7 linked regions of the Rattus norvegicus genome follow. The protein of the gene in region 3 interacts with the protein of the main gene of each other region in a pairwise test. Links are inferred from orthologs where the notes say so. Each region holds a gene or a part of one and is shown on either strand. Other genes may lie near its edges. The genes, in order: Scaf11, Tle5, U2af2, Khdc4, Thap1, Prpf3 and Snrpa.

The links.
Region 1: the proteins of U2af2 (region 3) and Scaf11 interact in binary tests that used the Homo sapiens proteins (3 or more experiments, as listed by UniProt). The link is inferred for Rattus norvegicus from reciprocal best matches to the Homo sapiens genes U2AF2 and SCAF11.
Region 2: the proteins of U2af2 (region 3) and Tle5 interact in binary tests that used the Homo sapiens proteins (3 or more experiments, as listed by UniProt). The two-hybrid records come from large-scale screens. The link is inferred for Rattus norvegicus from reciprocal best matches to the Homo sapiens genes U2AF2 and TLE5.
Region 4: the proteins of U2af2 (region 3) and Khdc4 interact in binary tests that used the Homo sapiens proteins (3 or more experiments, as listed by UniProt). The two-hybrid records come from large-scale screens. The link is inferred for Rattus norvegicus from reciprocal best matches to the Homo sapiens genes U2AF2 and KHDC4.
Region 5: the proteins of U2af2 (region 3) and Thap1 interact in binary tests that used the Homo sapiens proteins (3 or more experiments, as listed by UniProt). The two-hybrid records come from large-scale screens. The link is inferred for Rattus norvegicus from reciprocal best matches to the Homo sapiens genes U2AF2 and THAP1.
Region 6: the proteins of U2af2 (region 3) and Prpf3 interact in binary tests that used the Homo sapiens proteins (3 or more experiments, as listed by UniProt). The link is inferred for Rattus norvegicus from reciprocal best matches to the Homo sapiens genes U2AF2 and PRPF3.
Region 7: the proteins of U2af2 (region 3) and Snrpa interact in binary tests that used the Homo sapiens proteins (3 or more experiments, as listed by UniProt). The link is inferred for Rattus norvegicus from reciprocal best matches to the Homo sapiens genes U2AF2 and SNRPA.

Annotation. Positions count from the first base shown.
Region 1 is NC_086025.1:129,482,306-129,486,543, forward strand, and holds part of Scaf11 (protein SCAF11), read right to left. Parts: intron 3,483-4,238; 5' UTR 3,462-3,482; coding exon 3,401-3,461; intron 901-3,400; coding exon 743-900; intron 1-742. UniProt on the Homo sapiens protein: Plays a role in pre-mRNA alternative splicing by regulating spliceosome assembly.
Region 2 is NC_086025.1:8,797,951-8,802,688, forward strand, and holds the start of Tle5 (TLE family member 5), read right to left. Parts: upstream 2,973-4,738; 5' UTR 2,882-2,972; coding exon 2,855-2,881; intron 1,717-2,854; coding exon of another isoform or gene 1,600-1,716; intron 1,312-1,599; coding exon 1,214-1,311; intron 691-1,213; coding exon of another isoform or gene 609-690; exon of another isoform or gene 1-608. UniProt on the Homo sapiens protein: Transcriptional corepressor. Acts as a dominant repressor towards other family members. Inhibits NF-kappa-B-regulated gene expression. May be required for the initiation and maintenance of the differentiated state.
Region 3 is NC_086019.1:77,800,347-77,804,584, reverse strand, and holds part of U2af2 (U2 small nuclear RNA auxiliary factor 2), read left to right. Parts: intron 1-1,191; exon of another isoform or gene 1,192-1,311; intron 1,312-1,532; coding exon 1,533-1,668; intron 1,669-2,372; coding exon 2,373-2,417; intron 2,418-2,705; coding exon 2,706-2,809; intron 2,810-3,158; coding exon 3,159-3,310; intron 3,311-3,859; exon of another isoform or gene 3,860-3,919; intron 3,920-4,238. UniProt on the Homo sapiens protein: Plays a role in pre-mRNA splicing and 3'-end processing. By recruiting PRPF19 and the PRP19C/Prp19 complex/NTC/Nineteen complex to the RNA polymerase II C-terminal domain (CTD), and thereby pre-mRNA, may couple transcription to splicing.
Region 4 is NC_086020.1:176,473,036-176,476,253, reverse strand, and holds the end of Khdc4 (KH homology domain-containing protein 4), read right to left. Parts: intron 3,039-3,218; coding exon 2,947-3,038; intron 2,186-2,946; coding exon 1,986-2,185; 3' UTR 849-1,985; downstream 1-848.
Region 5 is NC_086034.1:72,609,404-72,614,196, reverse strand, and holds the start of Thap1 (THAP domain-containing protein 1), read left to right. Parts: upstream 1-1,506; 5' UTR 1,507-1,739; coding exon 1,740-1,810; exon of another isoform or gene 1,811-1,863; intron 1,864-4,025; coding exon 4,026-4,221; intron 4,222-4,793. UniProt on the Homo sapiens protein: DNA-binding transcription regulator that regulates endothelial cell proliferation and G1/S cell-cycle progression.
Region 6 is NC_086020.1:186,089,025-186,094,005, forward strand, and holds the start of Prpf3 (U4/U6 small nuclear ribonucleoprotein Prp3), read right to left. Parts: upstream 3,404-4,981; 5' UTR 3,294-3,403; intron 1,117-3,293; 5' UTR 1,069-1,116; coding exon 924-1,068; intron 1-923. UniProt on the Homo sapiens protein: Plays a role in pre-mRNA splicing as component of the U4/U6-U5 tri-snRNP complex that is involved in spliceosome assembly, and as component of the precatalytic spliceosome (spliceosome B complex).
Region 7 is NC_086019.1:91,608,474-91,612,273, reverse strand, and holds the end of Snrpa (U1 small nuclear ribonucleoprotein A), read left to right. Parts: intron 1-373; coding exon 374-547; intron 548-921; coding exon 922-1,010; intron 1,011-2,480; coding exon 2,481-2,640; 3' UTR 2,641-2,855; downstream 2,856-3,800. UniProt on the Homo sapiens protein: Component of the spliceosomal U1 snRNP, which is essential for recognition of the pre-mRNA 5' splice-site and the subsequent assembly of the spliceosome. U1 snRNP is the first snRNP to interact with pre-mRNA.

The sequences.
Region 1 (4,238 bases), on a different chromosome or scaffold from region 3:
CTCACTAAAGACCAAGTCAGTTCTTTCAACAATATTAAGGAACATAAGTACAAGAAAAAATACAAGAAAAATTAAGTTTGAGATACACCTAATTTCTTTACTAATTGTAACATAATATAAAAAAAATATAAAAAACAGTAAATGTTTGATTTTATAGTTTATAATAACAGGGCTTAAGATTAATATATACTTCAATTTATTTGGCCCAAATTGATTCACTATAATATAGTCAAAGCCTAAAATATCTTGTTTCTTAATTATTTTTATAAAAAGATCTTAAGTAAAATCTCTAACTCAGATTCTGAAATCAGTTTACACTAAAGATCCCTAAACTTTAAAGTGAAAAAACACTGTGGCTTGTACTTTGACTATTCCAGAAAGAAATCAAATAACCTGTGTGGAAATTCTCTGAAATACATAACATAGAAAGCATACAGGGATGTTATTAGTGCAAGCAGGTCATGTCCTATAAGGGTCAGAAGGCTGTTTGACCTGCTCTTTCTATAAGGTTTCTTCTAAGTCTAAAGTAAAATTAATTATAAAAGAGTGAAAAGACTGAGTAAAAAGACAACTGGGAGAAAACATGCAGACAGGATTTAAACAAACAGAAACTTGACTAAAGCAAAAGGGAAAGAACGTAGTATGAAGTAACTTACGGCAGGCAGTAGCAGTAAGTGAAATAAAATCATGACAGGAGAGCAAATGCAGTAATTACTATGGTTAGTGCTCTTCTCAGACTTACCTCTGCCCATTTAAGAATACAGGCCATACAGAAGACATGATTACAACTTTCTGGAAAACCAACTTCCTTCCCTAATAGGCAACTAAGACAGATTGGACATCTGTCCACCTCACTGTACAGTAAGCCAGAAGTATCAGCATTATTTCTGTTTTCTTCACCTGCAAAGAAAAAGACAGTCATGTTTTCAAAGGCCCCCAAACCATTGATTTATGCTTATAAGCATTATGGCTGCCTACATCCTCAAAGGGCCAGCCTTGCTTCTTTGCAACCATATCTTGGATGTCAAATGACAAACATACTCTTTAAGCTCAACAGCACCAGCATTTACTTTTTGTGTACTCTGTGTGTCTGTGTCTGGATGGTTTGTGGGTGATTTGTGTGTCTGTGTTGTTGTGTGACTATGTGTGTGTGTATATGTGTGTATAAAATAGGGCAACCTTGTATATACTACACAAATGCCCTACCACTCTCAATCAACTTTCTTGTATATTTCAGTGAGGAAGGGGAACATACATGGACCATAATTAATTTTAAATATTATTTACCTGGTTCAAAATTTTTTAGTAAAAATTCTATAGTGACAAACCTAGTCACATACCTATCTACTTCTACTAAATCCAATAATAACCTACAGTTTCTTTTATTACATAATATTTTTTAATGCATAGAAAAGCAATTCCTTCCTTGCCTTCCCCTCAGTTGAAATGGGCTTCTCAGCCAGGTGGTGATGGTGCACTCCTTTAATACCAGCGTTTGGGAGGCAGAGACAGGGAGCTGTCTCAGTTCAAGACCAACCTGTTCTACAGAGTATATTCCAGGACAGCCAATGATAAAGAGAAACATTAACTCAAAGAAACATTTAAAAAAAACAAATGTTTCTCAATATGTAGGTTGGCTTCAAACTCGGGATATTTCTGTCCCAGCCTCCTAGGTACTAGGAGTACAGGGGTGAGTCAATAAGCCAGGATAAACCCAAATATACATTCTTCCATGTCTTTTCTTCCTCACACAAACACTGGAGTACTATACATATTAATCTGCTTCTTAAAATAACTTATTAATAGACATTCATGTGTTTTCGGCCATTGGCTATGACGATGAATGCTGAGGAGAGAACCCAGAACTCCACATGTTAGGCAGGTAAGTACTCTACCAATGAGCTTATATCACAACACAATCATTTCAAATTTCAAAAAGTGTATCTACAGATCACTTCTTTAAAAACAGAATCACTAGCCAGGTTAATAATTAAATGTGCATGCCTTTAACTCCAGCACTTGGACGGCAGAGGCAGGCAAGGCCAGCCTGGTCTACAGAGCCAAGTTCCAGGACAACCAAGGCTACAGAGAAACCTTGTTTCAAAAAACCAAATACGGGGCTGGGGATTTAGCTCAGTGGTAGAGCGCTTACCTAGGAAGCGCAAGGCCCTGGGTTCGGTCCCCAGCTCCGAAAAAAAGAACCAAAAAAAAAAAAAAAAAACCAAATACAGGAGCAGTATGGGATCAATGTATATTTCTAACACAGGAATAGATATGCCAAATCTGTGTCTGTACCAATTTAAATTCCTAACAGTAATCAACTTACACAACAACATGTAAGCAAGCAATGGGAGCTGTATAATTCAATACAACCTGGAGCCTTCCCAAATAGAGGGACATATTAATCTAAAGGATCAGTATTAAGCCAAAACATTCAAATAGAGTTCACATGTTTCCAGTATGAGTTTGGAATGAAGGAAATACAAATTCTATAAACAATACCTGAATTGGGCATTTAGGATTTCAGATTAGTCTTAACAAATACAAACTAATATTAGATATGCACATAGTACACAGACATACAATGCAGGTAAAATACCTATATACATAAAATAAGCAAATAAATAAAAAAATTAACTTTACAGGGGGAATATTAATGCTGTTATAATCTTAAAAAGGAAGAGTGTTCATGAAATAACGTGCTTGCCAATCCCCAGAAAACATGTTTAAACATTAGCCAAGTATGCATGCATGCAGTCCCAGTGCAGAGAAGACGGAGACAGGCCAATTGCTGGGGTCTGCTGGCCGGTCAGCTAGCTTGGGAATTCCCAGGCCAGTCAGAAACCTTGTCTCAAAACAAAAAAAGGTGAATGGTGCCTAAGGAACAGCATCCTAAACACCCAAGCTTGTCCTTTGACCTCCACATACACACATGTACAGGTGCACATGTGCCCACACACACACACACACACACACACACACACACACACACAGACACACACACCTACACAAACAAAATAATCAACAATTCAACTAAAAATGTTCAATGAAAACATGAGAAGGCAAAGTGTATAATTCTTTTTTTTTTTAACATTTATCTATTATGTATACATCATACAGCTTTCTACCTGCATGTATGCCTGCAGGCCAGAAGAGGGCACCAGACTTGATTATAGATGGTTGTGAGCCACCATGTGGTTGCTGGGAATTGAACTCAGGACCTCTGGAAGAGCAGTCAGTGCTCTTAACCTCTGAGTCACCTCTCCAGTCCCAAAGTGTATAATTCTTAATTCTTGTTATTTGTTTCAGAATATAAAAAAAGACAGAAAAATTTAGGAAGCTTAATTTTAAAGCCTAGTGACGCTATCTGACTTTCGATACAGGCTTTATAGCCAGTTACCTTCCGCATCTTCACTCTCCTGATCACCCACACTCTGATTATATACGGGTTTCTTCTTCATCTCTCCTCGTGAAGGCGTTTCCTATGGGACAAACCATAAAAGAATAGTTTAGGAGTGGGTGGGGAATAGAGGGGAAAAACAAGAGAATGTTTGTTTGCCACCTCCCAATCCTATGAATTTTAAGTTTTGAACCATAAGAAACTACTTTATACATAAAGAATGAATGAGCCAACCAACCAGTTTTTAGACAACTGAGTACTCTTATTAAAATTATCTATTTATCTATTATTATTGTGTGTGTGGAGGGGTGCACATCAGAGTTCATGTGAGGCTGGCAGAGGACAACTGTGTAGAGAGCTGGTTTCTCCTTCCACCTTGGGATGGCTTCTGGGCATTGAGCTCAGGTTCCGAGGTGTGCTGCAGGTGTCTTTATGTGACTCAGCCATGTCAGCTACTCGACAGCCCAGTGCTCTCAGAGTACTTACACATCCAAACAAAGAACTGCCTAATTGACAAGACCGAGAATGGCCTTGGAAACAAATCTCTGTAGACAAGGATTATCTAGCATAAGTTAAAGTTAGAGGATCACCCTAAATAAATGTGAGCAGCCGCACACTCTGACCTACATAAGAGGATGCCGTGACTCCTGCTTCCTGAGCGTGGAATCAATGTAAGCAGCTGGTCTCCCACTCCTGCCACACAACCCTCTCCCCCACTACGACCCTATTTATCCCCTTGAATTCTAAGGCAAAATAACCCCTTCCTTCAATTGCTTCTCAGGTATTTTTAACAAACAAGGAAAGTATGTAACTAACGTAAGAAGTTTTATATAACTAT
Region 2 (4,738 bases), on a different chromosome or scaffold from region 3:
GTGAGTGCACGAGGTCCGCTCCCCAGTCCCGAACCCAGGCCCAGTGCACAGAGGGCAGCACAATGCAGCTCAGAGATGGCATCTGCCTATGGGATGACACACAGCCTCTGTCTGCCCTGCAGGTCCTGGCAGAAGTCACCCTAAGAGTGGTCCCAGAGCCATGCGGGCATAGCCTGCACTGGTGCCTAAATCCCTCTTCAAAATGGTGCCCTAAATTCCTCTTTAAAATGGCAAATGCTGGGGGAGCCGCCCAGCGGGTAGATGGCTGGCCTAGCACCCCCTGGGCCTTGCCTGTCCTGTCCTGTCAGCAGCTCAAGGTCATCCTTGGCTATATAGGGAAAGCCTGGGCCACATAAGACCCTGTCTCAAAATAAATACCAAAAACTTAAATAAAATAATTTTTTAAAATAGAAAACTCCACAAACACTGAGGTTTACCTTTTTCTTGGAGAAATCTAAGGGTCTTTTAAAGATTTTATCATTACTATCATCATTATTATTAGTTCATTTTCTGAGACAGAGGTTTGTTCTGTACCTCAGGCTAGCCCAGAACAACATTCGCCTGACTGTGTGAGAGCTGGAAGGTTGGGCCTGCACCCCCATGCCCACTCACCACTGGATCCTATAAAACAGGTCCAGCCTAGGGTCAAACGGAGACCCGTGGCTGGGACCCCAACTCCCCAGCTTCAGGCTGCTTGCAGCTTTCTTGCTTCTGTGCTGTGCACTCCTGGAAACTGCTAACACCTCTGGGCTTTGGGGTGATCAGTTTCACACATGAGGAACCCGTCAGAAATGAGAAAAGTATTTGTGGTGGGAGTGACCAGGCTGGAGGGTCTGTGGGACACCTGCAAGCTTCCCCACTCCAAAACTGGACAGAAGGAGAAGGTGGGGCTGTGTGAACCTGGGCGGACTATTCACCCTCTCTGGGCACCCAGTCCAGGCTGTGCTAAACAGAGGGATGCATGGGGACTGGGCCTCTGAAACCGCGAATGCTGTGTGCCTCGGTTTCCTCCTCCACACTAGGGGCTGCTTGTTTTGTTTTTGTACACATGGTCTCATGTAGCCCAGGCTGGCTAAGTAGTTGAGGATGACCTTGAACTGCTGACACTCTTGGTCCACCTCCTGGGCCCTGAGATGGCTGAGGCACCCCCCACCCCGCCTTCTTTGATGCCACAGACAAGTCTACAGAGGTGGGGTCCCCAGGCCCTGCTCACCTGTGGTACTGCGCTTGTAGCAGCTGGAACTCATCCTTGATGCGGTCGCAGGAGTCGGAGGTGGTGAACTTGAGCTGCTGGGGGAGGTGGGAGGAGCCCTGCGGAGTGCAGGAGGGTGAGCAGCGCCCTGCCCCACCCACGCCCCACTTCCTGGGTTGCTTACAGGCCCTGGCAGCCAGGAAGGGACTGTGAGGCTTCTAGGCAGTGGTGATGCTTTTACACACTGGTCATTTGTGAGGGGCAGCACCCATGTGGCTGCCCCCCGGAGGAACTCCCCAGAAAGCCCCTCTAAGTCAAGCAAGGTGATAACAGGCCTCCCTCCAAAGCCAGCATGGAAAAGGCACCTAGCTTACCACCCTATATTTCCTGGGGGTACCCCATCACACCTGTTTCCTCAGGGGTGTGCTCTTCAGGGGTGGACCCCCCCAAAAGCTGCCCTGCCACAAGGAGTGCCCTGTGGGGTTCCTCCCAGGTCCCAGCCAAAGCCACAGGGAAGTCATGGCCTGGGAGTTAGGGAGAGAGCTGATGGGGGAGGGGCTTGGGGGGGCGTTTACAGGGCCCGCATCTGAGGGCACTGGGTCAGGAGTTGGGCTGTAAGATTCTCTGGGTAGCAAGGCTAGGGGTAGGGTGTGGGGAGCATGGCCACTGGGATCTGGTGTGGGAGGCGACAGATGGGCCCGGGCTTGGATGGATGTGAGGGGGACAGAGCCTAGTGCTGGGGAGGAGGTGCAGGGGAATGGGGGATATCTGGCTCCGGACAAGGGAGCACTGGGCCTTATACGGGCACAGGGTCCCCCCAACCCTAGTGCTGAGGGTGCCGGATGGGGCCTGGAGGAGGAAGGCAGCTGGGGTGCGGGGCCTGCAGCTAGAGGAGGGACGCAGAGCCAGGCTGGAGGTGGCGCTGGGCCCGGATGGTGACGCCAGGCCCGACAGGGCTGGAGGGAGAGACAGGGGGTGTGGGGACTGGATTGGGGGGTAGAGGGCACCAGACTTGGGGACAGGGCAGATCTAAGGTGGAAGGAAGTGCAGGGCCGAGGTGGTGGTGGGTGCAGGGCCTTGGACTTGGTGTCAGGCCAGTCTGGAGCTCTTAAGGAGCTGGGCCTGGTGGGGTGCAGAGCACAGGGTGGGGATGCAAGGTCTTGGGCTGGAGGACATGCGCGCCTGGGGTGAAGGGGATGAAGGACTTGTGCCTAGGGTGCTGCAGCTCTGGGTCTGAGCCCCAGGGCCGGGAGACAGGCGGAATGCGGCTGTAGTGGGGTGCGGGCCCAAGATTGAAGACAGGCTGATCCGGAGCCCGGGAGTAGGGGTTGGGGGTGGGGAGAAGACCTTGGAGTCGGGATGGGGGGGCCGGCGAGGGGAGGCGGTGAGGGGACTCAGGGCAGGGATCAAAGTTCAGGGATCCGGGCTAAGGATGCAGTGCTGGGCTGGTGGGGTGCGTAGGGCCTGGGTTGTAGGGTGCAAGGGCTGGGGCACAGGCCTGTAGGAGGTGGGGGAGCACAGGGAGCCTCTGGGACAGGCCCTGGGCGGGGAGACAGAAGGGATCCGACCTAGAAGGGGTGCAGGGTGAGCGCTGGAGGTGCAGTGAGCTGAGCTGAGGGTGCAGGAAGAGCTCTGGGGTGCAGTGCGCGGGGTCCCCCTTACCGAGTGCCGGCTTTGCGGAAACATCATGTCAGTCGCGGGGGGCGCGGGCTGCGCCCCGGCTCGGGCGGCTCGGGGGGCGCCGGGCGGCCGCGCTTTGTCCCCGATCGACAGCTCCGGGGCCCCGCGTCCCGCCTCCTGCGCCGCCCGCCGCCCGCCCGCGCCGCCCGCGCTATTGTGTAATGGCGACGCGGTGCCGCCCGGGCTCCCGCTCCACCTGCCGCGCCCGGCACTGCGCAGGCCCGGACGCCCCACCCGTGACCTTGGCCCCGCGCGCCCCGCCCCCGCCACGGTCCGGAGCCCCGGCCCGAGGCCTGCCTCAATGGTCCCCCAAACCCCCAGCCCCCAGGCCACGGACTCACAGCCTGGGCGCCCAGGCTTCAGGGTGGATTTATGGAGTGCCTACAGCGTGCTACATCCTCTTTGGAGTCGGAGGGTTGGCATGACTGGGGGGCACACTGGGTAGCAGAGTGACACCTGTCCCTCAGAGGTAGGATGGGGGTCCAGGTCTGTAACCCACTGACTGGGGTGCGGAGGCAGGAGGATCAAGAGTCCCAGGCCAGCCTGTGTTACCAGAGAGCCTGTCTCAAAACAACAAAAAGTAAGACGTGGTTTGTGTTGAGCTACAAGAGTTATTACCGGTACTGGGTAGGTTGAGGTAGGTGGAAGCCAGCCTGATGTACACAGTGAATACAGCCTGGGCTACAAGAGTCCTTATCTCAAAACATCAAGAAGTTAAAGAGGGGCACAGCAGGTGGTGGTGGCCCATGCCTTTAATCCCAGCACTGGAGGCAGAGGCAGGCAAATCTCTGATTTGAGACCAGCCTGGTCTACATAGAAAGTTCTGGGACAACCAGGGCTACACAGAGAGCCTGTCTCATAAATAAAGAGTTCCCTAGGTCCTAGCTTCTGCCCAGCACTTGGGAAACTGAGGCAGGAGGATTGTTGGACTTCAGCATTAACCTGTGGCCCAGTTTACTGAGTGAGACCTGTCCAAAAAATTAAATACACATATAAGTATATGTAAATGTATATGACATATATTATATATAATAAATAAATATGCTGCTGTGGTAGCACATGCCTTTAATCTCAGCCCTTGGGAGGCAGAGGCAGGCAGACCTCTGTAAGTTCAAGGCTGAGCCCTGTCTCAAAAATAATAAAAAATAAAACATAAAATATATGAAAGAAGAAGAGTTCCCTGGGCCAATATGATTAACCCCTATATTTCAGGCCAACTTAAACTGCAGAGCGAGACACTGTCTCCACAATTCCATACAGTGTCAGACTCAAATGGCCCAGACACAGTGGCCAGCCAGGCTTGGCTAGGCCACGGCCATGCCAAGCCCCAGTGGGGTGGTCGGGGTCCTCCCCCAGCCACAGAGGGCCAATGAAGGAAAGAGGAAGCCATCTCCAGGCCTCAAGAGACAGGACCCGGACTCAGACTTTGGTACCCTGGAGGCAGGAGTCCAAGAGGCTGCTCCTGGTGCTGACCCATACCCGGCTGGTAGGGCTTTTGGTGAAGGTGCCACGATTGGCCTGTGACATTGTCTTGTTTTATTTATAGAAACACGGTCTCGTGGAGATCAGGCTAGCCTGGAACTCTGTAGCACAGGATAACCCTGAACTCTTGACCCTCCTGCGTCAGACCAGCCTTCCCTATGACTATTGTCCTGTCCCACTTTGGGGTATACAGATCCCCTTTCTGTGGCTTGCTGACAGTCTCTGATTCCAACATGGCCAGAGCTCTCAAGTGTCATGGCAGTCACTGGCCCTATGTGGCCACACCCCCTCCCTGACTTCCCAGCCTCCAGGATGGCACAGTTTCTCTTGAAGTGACTACTAAGTACCAGACTCGACAGCTTACAAGCATGGGACACCAGCAAG
Region 3 (4,238 bases):
CAGCCTGGTACCTAACTTAGTGGCATTACAATTTCAGTCTTGGCTTCACTGTTGCCCAGCTGTTGGGCTTTGAGCAAGTCATGATCTCCCTGTGCCTCAGTTTCCTTATCTGCTTTATGAGCTTCTGACAGATTTTCCAAAGCACTAGTGACAATTAAATGCAAGCGACAATAGTCTGTTTGCAGATTCAGATAGAAGTATCTCAAGGTTGGTTATGTTTTGGTTATGTTTTTCCTGAGGTGTTTTTTTAGTATTAGTAGTTGAGTTAAATATTTCAAAATTTACTTACTGCAACAGAAAAATACATAATATAAATGTAGAGTGTGTTTAAAATCTACTATGAAATTTCTCTTATTGCTTTTTCCTACTGCCAGTCTCAGAAGTCAGTACTTTTAGGATACACCTGTTAGAGTTTTTGAGTATGTATCTCATTTAACTCACTAGCCTCCAACCCTTCATTTTCTTGTGTCAGCCTGCCACATGTCTCATCACTCCTGGCTGTGTTCATCTGTATGGGTGGGTGGGGGGTTGATGGTTGAGAGATCAGTGGTACTTTGGAATTAAGGAAATACATTAAGGTGATCCTGGTTTAGCTTCTACCTTGAGGGGGTAGTCTGCAGAGTAGTAGTTATAGTGTTGTGTTTTTATTTAAGTTGGAGCCTATGTAGGTCCAGCTGGTCTGGAACTTGCTAGGTAGACCAGGCTGGTCTTAGGTCCATCTGCCTGCCTTTGCCTCTGAGGCTTTGTAGTTTTTCTTGCTAGGCTGTGCTCTGTTAGTAGCCATGACCTCTGAGGCAGAGATGCTAAGGAAGCAGAGTAGATAATGGTGAAGACACAGGTCCTTATTCTAGCCCACCCTGCTTTTGGCTTTGAGGGAGTAAGGCACGGAGGTGCTGGTAGATGAGGCTTCTCTGGACCATCAGTTGAAATATTAGGGAGGTGTCTTTTCCTTCCTTTCTGTGTGTTCAGAAAGAAGCCCCTCCCTTCAGAGCGTGCATGCTCTTGCATTATTCACCTGGTTGGGAAGGGATGGAGTTGAGTTTCCTCACTTCTTAAGGTTATTAGATCTGCCTGGCACCTGACCCTTGGGTCTGGTGGTGGGGCTGTGGGTACCAGCTGGTTGCAGAGGTTTTTCCTGAGGGGTTGCTGGGTCTCTTCAGGAAAACATCATTGGGTCTCTTGATTCCCCAGCCTCTAGCCCTGCCCCTCTCAGGGACGACCCTGGGGTCAGGCCCCTCAGCCCTCGAGGGGGACCAGGAGCCAGCTTCCTCTGTCTTCTCTGGCTCCTCAGCTCCTCTTGAGCATCTTCAGGTATCTTACACCCCGGGGGCATTTCCAGGCCCTGTCCCTTTGGTCCCTTCAGAGTCCTTGGGGACTCGGGTGTGGACCCAGGAGGCCTGTTGTCTCCTTTCATTAAATCCCTTCCCTTGGTGGGGTGGCCTCCCTGGGTCTTGGTATAGCCACCAGCACGCAGGGTGGGCTGGGCCTGCACTTTCTCTTCACTCATTCCATGTCTTCTCATGCTTGTCCAGAACGGGACAAGGAAAACCGGCACCGGAAGCGTAGTCATAGTCGCTCTCGAAGCCGGGACCGAAAGCGCAGGAGCCGGAGCCGAGATCGGCGTAACCGGGACCAGCGCAGTGCCTCCCGGGACAGGAGACGACGAAGGTACACTAGAGCCCTGGGACTTCTGGCTGGGTCCTCTGTCAGAGACTGGGTCTGCCTGATTGTTCTCCATGTGGGTGCCGCTTGGTCTGTCTTGAACTCAGTTTTCCCTGTTTATGGGATTTCTTTCAGTTTCTCTGGCAGTGGCAAAGGGTTGCTGGGGGCAGTAGTTCCTGGGGGCAGGGAATGAGTTTTTTTTTTTTTTTTTCTCTTCCCCTGTCTAAGGCTGTACCTGTCTTTTGAGGGCCCAATTATTTTTTTCTTATTCTCTCATTCTGTCTGGGGCTCTTTCGGAGAACCCTGTTTGTTTCTGCTTCCTCTGTTCTGGGAGGAGGGCTGTATCTGAAGCTTTCATTTCTAGCTCAGGGCTAGTTATTCCGAGGCATCTTTCCTTCCTGGGTTCCCCTCATTCTCTCTGTTCCTTTTAGGTAAGGAAGTGTGGGATATATGAAGAACATCCTTTCTTATCTCAGTTTCTCCATAGAGTGGCCTAGTCTTTTCCTGCTCCTTCTCATTACTTCCACATTCCTGGGAATGGTAGGGTTAGGGGGATTGGCAGGGCCGAGGGGGCCTGCATGCTACTTGTTCTCCTCGGTCCTGCCTTGATCCTGGGGTTCAGTGATCTTGGGTGTGGTGTGTTATGAGGGGAAGACAAAGGTCCCCAGTCACTCCTCCCCATACCTTTCCCTTTCCCTCCCACCCCTCAGCAAACCTTTGACCAGAGGCGCTAAAGAGGAGCACGGTGGATTGATGTGAGCTTCTCTTCCTGCCCCTTCTGCCCCATGTCCAATCCCTTCTCCTTCCTCACCTGTGCAATTTGCCTGCCTTGCATCCCCACCCTGGCCCGAGCACTGGGAAAGAGGCTCATCTGCCAGTGTCCCTCCTCAGGCCCAGGCCTAGCTCTCCCTCCTGGAGAGAGAGGAGCTTCTCTGTGGGAGGGTGGGGTGGACTGGGAAGGTGCTCCTTATGGGATTTGCAGACCCAGTGTTGGTCAGACTGAGGTTGCCCTGCCCCACTTTCCCCCTCCCCCCCTTCCCCAGTCGTTCCCCCCGCCATGAGAAGAAGAAGAAGGTTCGTAAATACTGGGACGTGCCACCGCCTGGCTTTGAGCACATCACCCCAATGCAGTACAAGGCCATGCAAGGTAGGCCTTTCCCTCCCGTAGGCTTTGTGGGGGTTACAATTGTGTGTGTGTGGAGGGAGGGTGTTAGGGGTTAAAGTTGTGTGTGTTAATGTGCTTGGTGAAACTAAAGGACTTCTGGTACCTGCCATGTGAAGTGCTGCTGGAGGAGGGAATGTCTTCCGTAGCAGGCCCCTTAGGAAGTCAGACTTCTTAGTAGTGGGTATTGGACTCCATTGCTGAGTTGACTTGGCTGATTGAAGAGCTTCCAGATGAAGTGGTCTGGAGGGTGGGTGGGTATGGTTAGTGTACACTGAGTGGTCCTGGTTTTAGGGTTGCTAATGGGATTTTACTCTTTATACCTTTCTTGAAGCTGCGGGTCAGATTCCAGCCACTGCCCTTCTCCCGACTATGACTCCTGATGGTCTGGCTGTGACCCCAACGCCAGTGCCTGTGGTTGGGAGCCAGATGACCAGACAGGCCAGACGTCTCTACGTGGGCAACATCCCTTTTGGCATCACTGAGGTACTGCCCTCCTCCTGCCCCGGCCCTCTCCCCTGTTTCCCTACCCTGTGCCTCCCCTCCCTCCATTCCCTTTCCCCAACCTGCACGCGTCAGACTCTGTTCCTGCAAGACCCCCCGGCCCCCTCCCAGACGGACGGATGGAGTTGAGCCAGCCAGGGGCCGGGCTGGGGGTGGCCCCTCCCTCCCTCCTCTTCCCCTCTCCCGTCTCCCTTTCCCCAACCTCCTCCAGCAACCCAGGGATCAAACACACACATAACGTACCCACTTACATATTGTACCTACGTGTTGGAGAGAGACAGAGAGGGAGACTCGACACACGTACAAACAGACGCACGTCCCTCCAGTTTTCTGACATGCTCTCCTTTTCTGCCGTCTATCCACATCCTTTTCCCCACATCCCTCCCATGGTCGCTGTTCTTTTATTTTTGGTAGCCCTGACCTCCCCCACCTTCCCCACCACTCCTCTCCCCCACCCCTTTCCCCCACCCCTTCCCGTGGCACCCCCTGAGAATCCCGAGATCAAAGAGTTGTTTCCATTTCTCTTTAAAGTGAAATATTGTGGGGCTGAGATCCCTCGTAGCAACAAAAAGTTTGCTACCATCGTCGAAGGCAAGTAAGGTCCATTCTGACTTTCTCAACCTGCACTTTGCTACATTTGATAAACCAGCCCCCGGACTCCAGGGCCAGATCCCTCCACATCACTCTTTTCTCCTCCCCTCCCGCCCTACCCCTTCTTCCCCTGCTCCTCCATCTCTCCCTGCCCCTGCACTCTACTTGTTCTGCCTCTCTGGGCGCCCTTCCTGTCCCTTTGCTTGTCTTTCTCTTCCTGCCTGTTGTTCTCCTACCTTGTCTGCACTGGGCATTTCTTCCTCGTGTCATCCTCATGTTTTTTGTTTTTTCCTCTTGCTGTCATATCCTGTCATCTTTT
Region 4 (3,218 bases), on a different chromosome or scaffold from region 3:
GATATATCTTAGTGGTGGAATTTTATCTAGCATAGACAGGTTCTGGGTTCAATTGCCAAAAACATGAGAACAAAACATTCGAATGTCTTTTGGGCAGTGGCTGTAACTACACTGAGCTACACAATGATACTCAATGTTAAATACCAGGGGGAAGGCCAATCCTGGTGGGTTTCTTTAATCCCAGCACTCTGGACACAAAGGCAGGCAGATCTCTAGGAGAATGAGGCTAGCCTTTTTATACAGAATACCAACCAGGCAGCTCAGATATTAGAGGTACTTGTCAGGCAACCCTGAAGAGCTTAGTTTGTTCACTGGAAGCAAAGTGAAAGAATTCATTCCTGAAGGGATGTCCTCTGACAGCTACACACATCATGGAACAAAATGTATCCCATTAATTAATCTTGTTTTAAGATTTATTTTTATGTAGATGTATTTATAATTTTATATGTATCTGGCCTTGGAGGTCAGAAGAGCATACAGTGAGACCCTATCTCAAAAACAAATAAAGCAAACCATTAAAGGGGGAAAGTAAGAAAATAGAAAAAAAAATAACTTAATAATCATAAATCTTTTTGACTTTAAGGATATACTTTGCAGCACTCAAGGGGCATATGCAAATGTTGAAGCATTTTAAGTTTTTATTGGGTAGGAAAACTGCATTATGCTCCGAATACAGAAGGTTATTAATAAGGGGCTGGAGAGATGACTCAAAGGTTAAGAACACTATTTCAGAGGATCCAGGTTCAATTCCCATGTCACACGGCAATTTACAACTATGTATAAAACTCCAGCTTCAAGGGATCTGATACCCTCACCCAGACATACATGCAACAAACTAACAATGCACATTTAAAAAGGAATAAATAATTAAAAAGAGTTTATTGATATTAGTGTTATGAATGGGCCAGGGAAGAAAAAGAAAAATGACAAGCAGAATCTTTATACATTTATTTATAATGAAATTATGGTCTAATTATTTACAACATACAGGAAACCAGAGTTTGTACAAAGCCAACCTGCAAAGTATTCAAAAATGTGCAAAAATGACAGTCAGTATCTCAGACACTCCTGGCTCAGCCACCGATTCCTTCACTTCCACACATCAATATTTGATACAAAAAAGTTCTTTTGGCAAAAGTCACAATGCCAAGAAAAAAAGGACAAGTTGCAATTCCAGTCAGAGTCACCGTCCTATTGGTAGCATCACATCTCTCTTCTCGCTGCGACCAGTTCTGAGACAAATGAGTATTTCATTTGTGTGATGAGCTCTGACCAGCTTTCCATCACGTTTTCTTTGAAACGTGAAAACAGGGAGGTTGGAAGGGCAGTGCCAACAGCAATGGCTATCTGAAACAAGTGTGCCTAAAGGTGCCAGCTTTGGATCATCCCGGTATTGAAACAATGCAAAAATAACTCCATTTTCCTATTGAGGATCCAGTTGTAGTTGACCATTCTAAATTAGTAAAACAGCATTTTCCAAACAAAGAATCCAAATGGAAAGAGGGATGAGGAGCTCTTAGAATTACATGTAAGCATGGAAGGAAGGGTCTTTAAACCATTTCCCACTAATAAATAGTAAGGCTTTGTTTATAACCAGTTATCAAAATTGACCCAATAGTAGTAAAATACAAATAAAACTTTCTTTACAACAGAGTTGAGGCTATTCATTTGGAAAAGGCTAGACCAGGTCAAACATATGTAGCAATGACTCTGTCCTGATATTTCACTGGACAAGCACATTTCGTCAACTTTTAAAAAGCTTGATGCAAATTTGTGATTCTAAGTGAATTTTAACAGATGTTATGCCACTGCAGAAACAGGGTTTTAAAAAGAATGGCATCCCTTTATGACAGGGGACACTGCATCCCTAATGTCTTCGAAGGTCCAAGATGGCCCCCAGAACAGGTTCCAGAGTCTTGTTTAATCAAGTGCATGCATTATTGCTAAGAAGAGTCACCGAGTGTCAGAGCTCTGTCCACTATTTCCTATGGGGCCATCCAGAACGGCATCTGCTGCTTAGCTCGTGGCTGTGACGAAGGGTACTGATAGCCCAAACTCCAGCCCTGTGGAAAGCTACTTGCATTTTTATGACCTCCATGTTCTTCCTCTTCATCAGAGGAGTCTGCAGCGTAAGCTACTAAGCCAAATCCCTTCTCTGCTGTTTTCATCTTCTTGGCTGGATAATCTAGAAGAGAGAACAAGCCCAACCCCAATCCCCACCAAGAAAAAAAATACCATAAATTCGTTAATTAAAAAAAAGATGTTAATTGTAAGTGGTTAGTTGGACACCATTTTGTAGCCACAGGGTCAATGGTCACCCCATAACGTTGATGATCACACGAAAAACAGCCAGCACCAGCAAATGACAATCCACCAGAACCATGTAAGAAAACAGAGAAAGAAAAAAGAAAAAAAAAAGAAAAGAAAAAAGGAAAGTTAGCAAGTGAGTCTCTGAAGACTAACATTTCACCTCTTAAAGAGCTAAAAGAAAAGAAGAAAAGAAAAACTATTTTTTCTTCTGTTCACTTTTATCAACTAGAGGCAAGGAATACAATGATCCCATGCACAGGATGCAGAGTTCCGGGATGCTGCTGGGTGTTGAGCTCAGCTCCCAACACATAGGGAAATTAACTTTCCCCAAATCTACATCAGATGACCGCCAATTAGACAAAATGAACAATAGGATTCTGAAATTACTTCCCAATCATTAGTATTTCCTACGAATTTAATACGAGTGGTATGCATAAAATATAAAGCAGACAACTCTATTCCCAACACAGAAGGACTAAAAATAGAAAGGCATAAACTGTCCTTATAAATTAAAAAAAGTATTGTTATCAGTCAGTAGATGACGGAGATTGGTTTCAATCTTCTGGACCGACCACCAGGTTAGAAGACTAACAACCACCCTACTTGTCCTCCCAACCCCAGCTCCACTGTACTCACCATGGCTTCCGGTTAAGGCCCCAGACCCATTCCTTTCATCAGACTCAGTTTTTATTCCAGTCACTGGAAAGGCTGGTGGAGGCATCAACTGCCTGTCAAAAGCATGACATTTCTTTTCAGAGAAATCCAGCATTTTAAATTACCCAGTTAATAACAATAGGAACAGTTGCTGATATGAATAACAAGAGACTGCTGATACCTTAACCATTTGCCTTTGCCCTCACTCTTTAATCATCAAGTCTGTCTAAAAAAGGAGACCATGCCAAAAACAG
Region 5 (4,793 bases), on a different chromosome or scaffold from region 3:
ACATGGGGAGGTCAGGGGATGGGCATCCCAGGCCAAGCAAAACTCTGTATTTGAGCAGTTAAAGGAGTTGAAGGACAAGCAGGGCAGGATGGTAAAAACACAGAGTACCTGCTGCCTATGCAGCCACCATAAGCAATTTGGATTTTACTCACTCCAGAGGTAGACTCTGAAGTCTAAGTTTTATAAGCAAGGAACTGGCAGTGTTTTTACGAGGGACAGAGAGAAGGCTGGAGACTAGGACTGACAAAAAGTTGAGTAGGAGACTGAGTACTTGAATTCAAGATTGCTGGTGAGAGAATAACCAAGAGGTACTAGTTTTACTCTATGAGATTAACCTAAGTCTTGAGGAAGGGGGAGAAATCCTAGGAGCAGCTGATAAAAACACTGGGAACCAAGACTAATGGGAGTTGGGTCCCTGGAAGCCCACAGGGTGGAAGGAAGAGAATCCACTCCCACAGGCCGTCCTCTGACCTACATGTGTGCTTGGTGCCCATTTGCCTAAAGTTATAGATGGTGTGAACTGCCTTGTGGGTGCTGGGAACCGAATCTGGGTCCTCTGCAAGAGCAACAAATGCTCTTTACCACTGAGTTAAGTCCTGGTTTTGTTTGTTTGATTGATCTCATTGATACCAGGGTTCCAGATTTAAGTAGCCGGCAAATGCATTAAACCACATACATGGTGACTCAGAAGGCAAGTCCATGTGTGCTGAAGTTAGAGGGGCTAGTAAAGGATGGTATGCGGGCTCAAGAGTCAAAGGTCTACAATGATGTCGGGCACACGCGCCCCAGACTCAAAACTACAGAAGGTCAAGCATGTAACACTTCTCTCTAGCATGAAAAATAGCTGCAACAGCTCGCAATTTCCAGCACAGACAGAACGCAAAGGTAACAACGTTCCAAGCTGGAGAAACGGCTCAGCGGTTAAGAGCACTGACTGCTCTTCCAGAGGTCCTGAGTTCAATTCCTAGCAACCGCATGTGGCTCACAGCCATCTGCAGTGGGATCCGCTGCCCTCTTCTGGTGAGTCGGAAGACAGCGACAGTGTACTCACAAATATAAAATAAATTTTAAAAAATAAGTGCTTTTGATTCTCAGCTTAGAAGAAATGAAATGCACGTCTGTACTCGCTCTTTAAGTAGACGGCCATCTGGATTCTGAACGTGGAACACAGATTTGTATAAATCACACCTCCGCAGCCGCCCTTTTTAAAAATTACATGTGACCAGGGACGAGCTTTCCCACCTTCCCTTTACGCTTCTGGGTCCAACAGGCGGTTTAAATTGAATTAAGTTTACCACACTCACCAATACAAGACCCTACAAGAGACTAAAGCAAGGCTCCCAAACAAACGCGCTTTCTTCCGGCCAAGGCGCAGAGGACCCACCCACTTCCGCACTGCTGACCACGCCCCCCAGGCACGCCTCGCCCTAACCAATGGTCAGCTTCCCTGGGAACGTTACCTTCGGCTAATCAGAGCCTGCGAGCGAACTCCTCGCGAGAGGTGAGGTTGAAGCTGCCTCCGCCATCTTGAAGATGGGAGACGAGCGACAGCTGTTGTCTTTCTGCTAAAGCAAACACCACAACGGACCGGGTGGTCACCCCCCACGGTGAGGTAATCGTCCCCATAACTGCTAACCAAAGCCACCGAAAGCGGCGACCGTATCAAAGCCGAGCGCGGCGGCACCGACGGCCCCTTCACCTGCCTCCCGGGCAGAGGGGAAGTGTGGAGGGCCAGAAGGATGGTGCAGTCCTGTTCCGCCTACGGCTGCAAGAACCGGTACGATAAGGACAAGCCCGTCTCCTTCCACAAGTAGGTAACTGGCGTGCTCCGCGGCCGCGGCAGGGGCGCGCGGGCGGGTGGAGGCGGAGCCCGGCGCGTGGCCGCGCGAGACCTGGAGGAGGCGGGGCGGCCGGCGGGCTCGGGCGGCAGACGGGGCTGGCCGGCGGGGGCGGGGACCCATGGCTGCGCGTTCCCGGCGCGCGCCGCCTCCGTTGGCTGGGCTCTGCTGAGGCTGCGGCCGCGCCTTTGCGCTCGTGGAGGGTTTCTGGCGAGCAAGCGATGGACGCCTGGAAGCCTCTCGCTGCCCTCCGGATTTCGTCCCAAGCCAAGCCGTGGAAATGTCCCATAGGGATAAACTGGAACTAGAAAAGCATGGGAGGGAGACCTGGCTTCTGACCTCGCTGCTGCTGTTAGGAGGGAAGCAGGATAGCTGAGTGTTGACATCTGACCAGGACTTTTAGACCTGGTTTCAAAGAACCAAGCTTTAAGGATCTGTGGGTTTTAGAGGTGACTCTTGGTATTGCCAAGATGAGCCCCAGTCTTTCAACACACGGTAGTAATGAAACGATAGCATTCACTTTACTCAGATGCCCTGGGAAAGGTTGATGGAACTAATGTTAGCTTTCCCCCACAGCTGTCAGGCCTTGTTCTTGTGTGTGCAGCAAGCAAGAATCCAGGATGAAAAATACTCTCTTGAAAGAAGAAGGCAATAGAATTAACGTTACTGATGGTGATTATTAGCAATGCTAACGGTCCACAAAATGTGACATACTTTTAGGCAGCTAAATTCGTTATTACAAGTTTTATGTTAGGTTTTGGAAGAATTCCTGACTGTATGCAGAGAATAGCTAAGAAATCAGACCCACTGGAAAATTATCCAAACTGTCTATAGGGAAAACAATTACAGAAACAAATTTCAAAATGTTCCCTCAGGGATTTGGGGAGCTAGTGTTTTTGTTTAAAAGTGTTTGTTAGAAAGTAAGAGTTGTATGCTGGTGTTTTCTCTGTGGGAAGAGGATAGAATATGTCCAATTACTACGACTTGATTGATTGAAATTTCATACGCCTTCAGAATGTCAGAACAGATCAGGAAATGGTGACAGGGATATGCATCCGACTTGCCACTTCCCTTTCCTATGCTTTATTAAGATGGCCCAGGAGTCTTCAAATATGCAGACTAGTTAAAAATGGCACACATCGGGGTTGGGGATTTAACTCAGTGGTAGAGCGCTTGCCTAGCAAGCGCAAGGCCCTGGGTTCGGTCCCCAGCTCTGAAAAAAAGAAAAAAGAAAAAAAAAATGGCACACATCAAACTACTGTTTCAACTGCTGGATGTTGAAACATAAAAACAAGAATGAGTCTTATTCCTTATGTAAGAACAGTAAATGGCAAAGATCTTGACAGTTCAGAGTTTGTGCTCTATGCCAGGAGATGAGATACTAAGATTTATAAGAAGCTACCACAGTGGTTGTACTTCTTTTCAGGAATATCTTTTTTCCAGCCTGTGTGCAGTAGCAGTGGAGAAAGCTGGCTGTGTAAAGAATAAACACTAGCAGGAAGATTGGTTAGGTCTTCATAAAGAAAATGATGATCAGGGTCCCACATACCTTATGTAGTGGAATAGTAAAAATAAGTGGAAACATTCCTTTTCAGCCATTTCTGATTCCTCTAGCATCTCCCACCAAGTTTTTGTTATAGAAAAGCATAGTGGCAATAGATACAAGGATTCCCCATTCCATACACTGAATTAAGCCATAAAATAACGTCCTTACCATCTTTGTCACTTGCCCAATTCAGGATGTAGTCTCTTTGTTGGAGTGATTAAAAAGAGCTAGACGTCTATTTCAGGATGTAGACATATGTCCAAGTTTTGTTCTATAAGACACAAAATTTTTAGTAAAAATATGCGTAGAATTTGCACATATGATCAATTTTTTTTCTTTTCTTTTCTTTTTTTTTTTTTTTTTTTTTTTGGAGCTGGGGACCGAACCCAGGGCCTTGCGCTTGCTAGGCAAGTACTCTACCACTGAGCTAAATCCCCAACCCCACATACGATCTATTTTAACTGAACTGTTAAGTGTCTTCAGTATAAAAAGGTGAAGCTCACTGAGTGAGAATAGTAACCGGAACTGATCTCCAATCAGATTCTCCTTAGTATGTTAAGATTTTCCTTAGTATGAGAATGGGGGAAGGGTATTATTTATTTTTTAAAGTAAAGTCAGAGAACTGAATTGTATCTTCTTAGGTTTCCTCTTACTCGTCCCAGTCTTTGTAAACAGTGGGAGGCAGCTGTTAGAAGGAAAAACTTCAAGCCCACTAAGTACAGCAGTATCTGTTCGGAGCACTTTACTCCAGACTGCTTTAAGAGAGAGTGCAACAACAAGCTACTGAAGGAGAACGCTGTGCCCACTATTTTTCTCTATATAGAGCCACATGAGAAGGTAATTTGGGTTCTTAAATGCTGGATTTGTTTTTTTCCTTTCCCGGTCTTTTCTTTGTTTTCTTTCCTCCTCTGCATTCTCTTCCCCTCCCATTCCTTGTGTGAGACAAAGTCTTAAGTAGTCCAGGCTGGCTTTGAGCTTGCGTATAGCTAAGGCTGAATTGGAACTCCTGATCCTCCTGCCTCTACCTTCCAAATTCTATCATAAGCACTGGATTTGAGTGAATGCTGTTTTAATTTATGAAGCTAGTGTGTTCATGGGAAAATCAGGGAAGGGTTAAAACCAGTGTGTTTGAAACCCATCATTTGGCAGTAACTACTGTTGGGGCTCAGTGGTTAAGAGTATGTATTGCTCTTCCAGAGGATGTAGATTTGACCCCTAACACCCACTTGAAGCTGCTCACAATTTCTTAACTCTAGTTGCAGGGAATCTCAGGTCTCCTCATACCCTCCCAACCCTCCCACGGCAGACACTCACAGAGACACACATGTATGCCCATGATTAAAAAATAAATCTTTTTATAAAGAAAAAAATAACCATTATTAACAATAATACACTTTTAAAGAAACAGA
Region 6 (4,981 bases), on a different chromosome or scaffold from region 3:
GCACCTTAAAACCAATTTAAGATAAAATATCACTTTATACTACAAATTATGGAAGACTACCAATAACAAAATCTACGTATTTTGAGATGCCAATCAGAATCAGCCATTGATTGCAGTATATTTCCTAAGCAAATTTGACTTGGGTGACTTGGTACGATGATCAAAGATTGTAATTCACAATGCACCACGAATAATAAAAAGAGAGAAAGGTTGGTTATCTAAGCTCTTCCCATTATAACAGAAGAGAAAATAAGGAGCGAGGAATGGCTCAGCTGGTAGAGTGCTTGCCTAGGTGCCAGTTTCCTCAATCTTCAATACTGCATAAATCAGGTGTGGTGCAGGCCTGTGATCCCAGAATTCAGGACGCAGGACAGCAGTTCTCAACCTTCCTGATGACTCCACCCTTTAATAGTTCCTCATGTCATGGTGACCCCAACCATAAAATTATTTTGATGTTATTTCATAATTGTAATTTTGCTACCGATATGAATCCTAATGTAAAAACCTGATATACATGACATCTGATATTCAACCCTGTGGAGTCACAGCCCACAGGTGGAGAGCTGCTGATGTAGAGGAAGTAGACTCCTAAGTCTCAGGGCATCCTCGGCTAGTGAGCTGGAAGCCAGGCCGGGATCCATGAGACCCTGTCTTTTAATAAAAAAGGGGGAGGAGGGAGTGGTGTGTGCTTTTAATCCCAGCACTCAGGAAGCAGAGGCAGGTGGATATCTGAGTTTCAGGCCAGACATCGCTACAGAGGAAACCTTGTCTCAAAAAAACAAAACAAGAAAACAACAACAAAAGGAGAAGGGGCTAGCCCCACCTTTCCTTTGATGCTCCAATAGGAACAACCTGGGGCAGTTTCAAATTAGTGTTTGGAATCAATATACTTGTTAAGTCAGAAGAGTCAGAGAGGTACACACCAGCCGCCTTCTTTTTGTCCATGCCCTTCCCCACACAGTTCAATGCCGCTGTGACCACCGTGGGCTCTGAGAAACCCAGCACTCTCTTCACTGTCTTCTCTATCCATGGTTTCAGCTCATCCAGTTCCCGCTTAGACAGTGCCATTTTGGAGGAAACAGAGACTAAGAGCTCAAATCGGACAAAGTACTACACCTAAAAGAAACCAAGCAAGAGTCAGAGAAAAGGAAAACAAAGCAATCAAGATAACAGTATAATAAGGGTGCTTTCCCCACTCCTATTTTCAACCCCTAGGCATGTCTCTCCATTTGATATGGAGAATACTTTCCCTAAAACCAAGCTTCAAAACAGGAGGAAAGGGTTCCATTAGCTTTTCTGAGTTTTTTTTTTTTTTTTTTTGGTTCTTTTTTTTTCAGAGCTGGGGACCGAACCCAGGGCCTTGCGCTTCCTAGGTAAGCGCTCTACCACTGAGCTAAATCCCCAGCCCCAGCTTTTCTGAGTTTTGAGATAGGGTCTTACAATGTAGCTCATGCAGAACTCAACACTTGGCAATTCTCCTCCACTTACCTAGTGAGGAATTCCGGGAGCATACCACCATGCCCCACTCATTTGATATTTTGATTCTAACTCAGCATCAGTCATCAACACTATCTGAAGAATAAACAAACTAGGAATAACCTAATCTGAGGAATGGGTTCTAACTTCTGACTCTGTCATATAAAGGATAGGCAAACAGAACATCTGAAGAGTCAATCTAGAAGTCAACCTTACTATTACGTCTACTCTGGAAGGCATTCTCTAACCCGGCTTTGACCTAAAACATCTTTAATGGATACAAATAAGAGGTTTTATTCAAGTCAGTCCTCCTGTTAAATCTCATAATCTTTAAGAATGCTGTCATTTCTCTGTAGATTTATTCATGGTTGTAAGCATTCTATATGCCAAAATGATTCTTTATTACTTAATGCAAATTGGTGTAAAATTTCAACACTATTCATGCTTACATTTGGGTACTCTTAAATCTCAAACATCTTCACCAGCATAAAGTTAACTTAATTTCTGATTTTCTTCCCAATGGCTGTATGTCAGTCAATTGACCTTAACTTCCCAGCTGACCTCCTCTTAGCACTGCCCTGTATCGTAGTGCGATCTGGGAAATGACTCTTTCAAGGTGTTTAAAGACATCTAAAAGATGCCACCTCAAATGACCATACAAGTCTGTGATCCCAGCACAAGGGGAATCAGGAGTTCAAGTCCAGCCTTGTCTACGGAGTTCAATGTCAACTCTTGGCTATATGAGACCTTGTCATAAAACAAAAAGATGCAGTCTAATTAGCTCCTACAATTGACAGACTTATCTCTCAGAAGATCTATCAATGCACAGTATTTAATACACCTGAATGAAGCTGAAAGGCTGTTCCTCAGTGACAAGTCTTATGAATAATCCTGGGATTGCTTTTTGGGCCATCATGAGATAGCAGTATACTGCCTATCAAAAAGAAAGCAAACACAGGCACTAAAGGTGGAGAAGAAAGCCCACTGAAGAGAGGATATAGTAAGCACTACCATTTATAAGCCCTTAGGTAAGCAAGTTAATCACCAGAGCCTCAGGATACTCATCTTAGAAAGTGGGAACATCTGACATAACACTCCATTCAGTAAATACTTAAGTTCCTATTACTTGTTAAGCAGAATACTTACTGCATGTAAAGACACATACAGCAGTGAACAAAACAGCCAAGAATCCTCGTGTTAATGAAACTTACGACCCACTACAATTGAGTAATAGACTGGAAAGTTTAAGCAATTTTCAAAATCCAAAGTAATAGGTGAAACACTAGAAGACTGGATGTGAGCCCAGGCAATATACTGACAAATAGATGTCTTCAAATTCGACCCGAATGTGCAAACGAAGCAGTCAATGGATAAGAAAGTTCCAATCACTACAGTTGTCACCAACCAAATAACTATAATAGCGAGGAGGCGTCAGTGTCGGTGTGGGCCTGGGGGGTAGAGGGGAACGGGAGGAAGGCAGAAGGCTGTCTTCTGAATGAGCAGAAAGCAGACTCTCATCTTCTGAAGGAATTCCTTACTTTTCTAAGCTACAAGCCCCTGAGTCCCCCATGCTCCCTCTTTACTATCTTTCCAACTGGCCCCCGCTTCAACCGAGTCCGACCTAACTCCTCACCTCAGAGCAGGTCTGCCCACCCTGCTCCTTCCCGCCCCCGCCCTTTTCCTTCAGCAAGCCCATTCTGATTCCGTCCCCCAACAGAACCCGGGGTTCCTCTCAGCCTGCTTCCCGCCGAACACTCCCGCCCTGTCCAGCCGCTCGGACCGAAGGCTATCCTCTCGGGCGCAGGGCCACTACTCACCTCACAAACTTCAGCCCCTGAGACGGAGCCCGAACGTTACACCGGAACCGGAAACCTTCCGGTTGCCCTATGGCCCGCCGTCGCTACCGCCAGAGCCACCGCCACGCTGCGGTCCCTATAACACGTGACTTGAGAAGGCGGGACCTGAGCCGCGCAGCCGCGGTATCAAGGTGCCGGCGGCCGGGCGCACGCGCGGCGGGATCCTAAAGCTTAAGTCCGCTCGCTGACTTGCCGCGGAGCAAAGCCAACGTTAGTCCAGTCCTGATTGCCGGGAGCAGAAGTCGTTTGGCAGCACATTCCCTTGGGTCAAGAGTTAGTGCGCTAACCTTATTGCTAGAACTAAAAGCAAGGACATCCACATTCGTACTCAAAGTGTCCTTTATAGTAAAAACAAACAAAAAAAATATTAGGGGTTGGGGATTTGGCTCAGTGGTAGAGCGCTTGCCTAGGAAGCGCAAGGTCCTGGGTTCGGTCCCCAGCCCCGGAAAAAAAGAAAAAAAAAAAAAATTGAGCTGGAGAGATGGCTCAGCGGTTAAGAGCATTGACTGCTCTTCCAGAGGTCCTGAGTTCAATTCCCAGCAACCACATGGTGGCTCACAACCATCTGTAATGGGATCCAATGCCCTCTTCTCGTGTGTCTGAAGACAGCGAGAGTGTATTCACATAAAATTAAAAAAAAAAAAGTAAAACCTTCATGATAGAGCTGGAGAGATGGCTCAGTGGTTAAGAGCACTGACTATTCTTCCAGAGGTCCTGAGTTCAATTCCCAGCAACCACATGGTGGCTCACAACCATCTGTAATGGGATTTGATGCCTTCTTCTGGTATGTCTGAAGATAGCGACTATATATATATATGTATATATATATATATATATATATATACATATATATATATAAATCTTTTTTTTAAAAACCTTCATGCTATTGGAAAATTCTAATTTCCATCTTACTAGGAAACAACTTCACTTTCTAATGAGTCTACCGCATATTTCTTCTAGTTCTAGTTTCTGTTGGGGTTGGTAAGATGGCTCAGTGGGTAAAGGTGCTTGCCACCAATTCTTGCAGCCTGAGTTCAATGCTCAGGACCCACAAGGTAGAAGGAGAGAACCGATTCCTGAAAGATGTCCTCTGACTCCCTCAGGTGACTGTGGTGTGTGCGCACACACACAAGGTACATAAATACATGTAATCTGTAAAAGTCAGTTTTTGGCATAGTGGTGGTGTATAGTCCTTAATTCCAGCATTTAGAGAAAGGCAGGCAGATCTCTGAATCTGGGGCCAGCCTGGTCTACAGAGTGAGTTCCAGGAAAACCAGGGCAACCCTGAGAAACCATCTTGAAACAACAACAAAGCAAACAAAAACTCTTAGAAGAAAACAGGGTTTGTCTTCATGGCATTGGATTTGGCAATGAATTCTTAGATGTTACACCAAAAACAAGAGCAACAAAGTCAACTGGACATGGAAAACTTCTGCCATTTGGCTGGGCGTGGTGGCAGATGACAGTAATCATCTCAGTGGTTGCATCTGCAGAGTGGGAGGTAACACCTACATGTCAGGTACCTAAGGAAAGACCTTGTCAACTCAGGCAATAAGGGACTTGAATGCTTCCTCAAAGGAGGAACGGTGAGTAAAATCACAAGAGGGTTCAAAGGCATTCGCCATTAGAAAAAGGACAAGCCTATAACT
Region 7 (3,800 bases), about 14 Mb from region 3:
AAGAGGACACTGGATCCTCTGGAGCTGGAAACATAGGGCGCCGTGAGCTGCTGTGTAGGTGCTGGGAACCATGCTCTCTTGACCACTGAGTCATCTTCAGCCTCCCTCCAATGTCTTTACATACTTCTGGACAAAGTTGGGCCTTAGTAATTATGCCTCTTTTTTCCCCCCTTCAAAAAGCTCTCTGTGGTCTAGCATTCATCCTTGAACTTCAGCTTTTCCTTCTTGGCGGCTCAATTAGGTTTGCTTTTCATCTTTTCAAGTGTGGGTCTTTCTCTTTCTGTCTTATCTCAGTGGCTCCGTTGTGCTGTGGGCACTGTGACCTTGCCTTCCATTATCCCTGTGACATCACTGCTAATTCTTTTCTCCACAGGGCATGCCACCGATGACTCAGGCACCCCGCATCATGCACCACATGCCAGGACAGCCTCCCTACATGCCACCACCTGGCATGATCCCGCCACCAGGCCTTGCTCCTGGCCAGATCCCTCCTGGGGCAATGCCCCCACAGCAGCTCATGCCTGGGCAGATGCCACCTGCCCAACCTGTAAGTGTCCCTACCCCACCACAAGGTCTCCTAAGCATAATCTTCCAGGAGAAGTAGAGCGGTTACATGGGCTTCTAGGTCAGTCAGGTGGCGCTGCAGCTGAGCTCTTGTGTGGTGACCCGACCTGGGACAGAGGGAAGTTGGTTTGTGAATTGGTCTGGGAGAGCATGGTGCAGCTAAGCCACTGTCTGCATCCAAGTTAGTGCATGTACTCGGGTCCAGGTCTCTGCTGCCTTGGGCCTTTGGTCTCTGGGCAGAGAAAGGTGAGAATGTGTGCGTTGGAGGAACATGTGGTGAAAGAGGGTGGTGAGCAGAGTGCAGTGCTCGGCATCCCTCTTGGTACCCATGACCATGGGCTCCCCTCTTTCCCACAGCTCTCGGAGAATCCACCCAATCACATCCTGTTCCTCACCAACCTGCCTGAGGAGACCAACGAGCTCATGCTCTCCATGCTCTTCAACCAGTAAGTGGGGCTTCCTGCTGGGTGGGCAGGTCTAGGTGTTTGGTGCCCAATGCCTGAAGGTGTGAAGTGGGATAGGAAGGAGGTGCATAAGGACACGCAGTGCTGTGGGCATCTGTGCGCAGGTCTTTCGGGTCCCGGGCTGCCTTTGCTGAGTCAGTGTCCTTACAGGTACAGAGCAAGGGAAAAGTGAAAGCAGTAACATGTTGAGGCAACCTGTTGAAAAAATGGCGTGGGCACTCGGGACAGGAGGACCTCGTGCCCGGCCAGTGTGATGGAACCTGTAGGCCTTGAGTAGAGGGACTGCGGAGTGGAGAAGGGCTGTTTGCCTAGTCTTCGGGTTTCTAAGAACACCTCTTCCAGAAATGTCTGGTCAGGCTGGGGGTGTTAGTGGTGGTGGTGTATACACATAATCTCAGTACGTGGTTCAAACAGGAGGCTTGAGTTGAGGATCATTTTCTGCTGTGTAGCCTAGGCTATGTGAGGCCCTTGGTAGGAGCGTTACTTGATCTATGTATGAGGCTGTCAGCCTTGTCTGGTATGGAGGAATAGTCAGCTCTGAGATGGGGAAAGTTTGTTTGCGACCTTACTCTCCTCCCCCTCTTTTTTTTTTTTTTTCTTTAAGACTTTCTTAGTTTTACTTTATGCATTTGTCTGTTTGTGGCTATGTGCCAGAATTGTGGGATATCCTTGAGCTCGAATTTTAGGCAGTTTTGAGCTGTCTGACATTGGTGCTGAGAACTGAGCTTGGGTTCTGCAAGATCAGTTCTTGATCTTAACTGCTGAGCCCTACCTCCAGCCCCTCCCTTCTTGTTTGTGATGGAAACAGATGGTTTATTAGGTAAACATGGGCACAGTCTTCATATGGCCAGGAGCTGGTGATCCTCCTGCCTCCACCTCTAATGGAAGTCTGACCTTCCATACCTGGTATGGATGATTCTGTAGAATTATGCTGAAGGAAGTTTGAGAGACCAAATAAAGCTGGAAGCAGGACAGTTGATACGCCATCTCCACAAAACACTGCGTGTTTGTGAGACTGCTTGCCCCGGAAAAGATGTCCATTTCCCTGGAGCAAGTGAGGGAGTTCAACAGTCATGATGGCACCTTGTAATCCTGGTGCTCAGCCTGAGGAGCTAAGGTCCAGCCTGAGTTACTTAAATAGGGACCCTGTCTCAACAAAGCAAAAACCAGAGACTGAGAGTAGGGATTGGTGACAGTTTGTGGGACTGGGGGTGGACTTTGGGGGAACAAGGGGTTCTAGCACTTTGTTTGGTCCACATTGTGATTGTTATTTATGTGATTTCATTTAATGTTGTTTACGGTAGAGGATCTGCATGTATTTTGTCCACGTAATCCTTTGGGTTTGTGTTGTGCATTATGGGAAGCTTAGCTTCTCTGGCCTCTGTCACTGGTGCCAAAATATTAGGGGAAAGCTGAGGTGGGTCTCTGAGGTCTGTTATTCCCTTCTCCCAGGTTCCCTGGCTTCAAGGAGGTGCGTCTGGTCCCTGGGCGCCATGACATTGCCTTCGTGGAGTTTGACAATGAAGTGCAGGCTGGGGCAGCACGAGATGCCCTGCAAGGCTTCAAGATCACACAGAACAATGCAATGAAGATCTCTTTTGCCAAGAAGTAGCACCTTTCCCTACGGAGTGCCCCAGTCCCCATTCTGGGGCTGCCCCTTCCCCCTCTCTTGGCTCAGTCCCTGAAGGTAAGTCCCCCTTGGGGGCCTTCTCAGAGCCGTGAGTGAGTGTGTGTCTGCCACACAGCATTGTACCCAGGGTCTTCCCAGACATTGCACCTGGCGCTGTTGGGTTGTGATTAAAGTGAGTTTTTAGGTTTGGTTTTTCACCAGTCTTGTCCGCTTTATTTTCTTGCCTAACTTGTTTCCTTCCACATCAAGAGTTTGGATCTCGTGGCTTCTGTGGGTTCACAATCTAAGAAAACACTCGGGAGTGGAGCAGTATTAAATGCGTCTGAGGTCTCAAATCACGGAATGCAGGAAGAAGAGCACCGTGTATAATTGGGCGGGTTTCGTGCTGCAGGTTGCTGCTGCTTGCTTCTGCTGCTTTTGTACTCTGCAATAAAGAGGAGAGGCAGTGAAGACTGTCTCCAAGGCGTTGGGTGAGGAGGACAAAGCTGCTTACATCACCAAGGGACTCTCTTGTTATTGTAGCCAGGGGAGAGGCAACCTCCCTCTCCACATTGGCCTGGTGGCTGTGTCACATGCATGCTGTGGCCAGCCCCTCTGGTTTGCAGTCACCCAGTGGTCAGTTAGTATCCCCAATGTGAGCTTTATTATCTTAACTGTGTGAAAAGGAATCCTCTATTAATGCCACAATCATAGTATTCCCACTGTCCCCGCAGACAGCATCAGGCACTTAGCTGACACTCGTAGTAGATTCAGTATATACTGAATAAAACTTAGAAGTGAAAATCAACATTGCTAGCTTGGCCTTTGGTCATACCCAGACGGCTGAGAGCGGGGGTGCTGCCTGGAGTTCCCTGACAGCCTGAGCTGCTGTGGTGGGTACTGGAGAGTGAGGAGCAGTTAGGGCAATGAAGGTAAAGTCCTGATAAGGTGTCCTAGGGTGGAGCGCTTAGGCTCTCCTGGCGAAGGGGAGTTCAGTCTCATCTTTACCCAGGATTCTACCTCTTTTTTTTTTTTTTTTCGGAGCTGAGGACCAAACCCAGGGCCTTGCGGTTGCTAGGCAAGCGCTCTACCACTGAGCCAAATCCCCAACCCCTTTTACCCAGGATTCTAAGACTAACCCGTGACTTGGCCAGCTCAGAGGC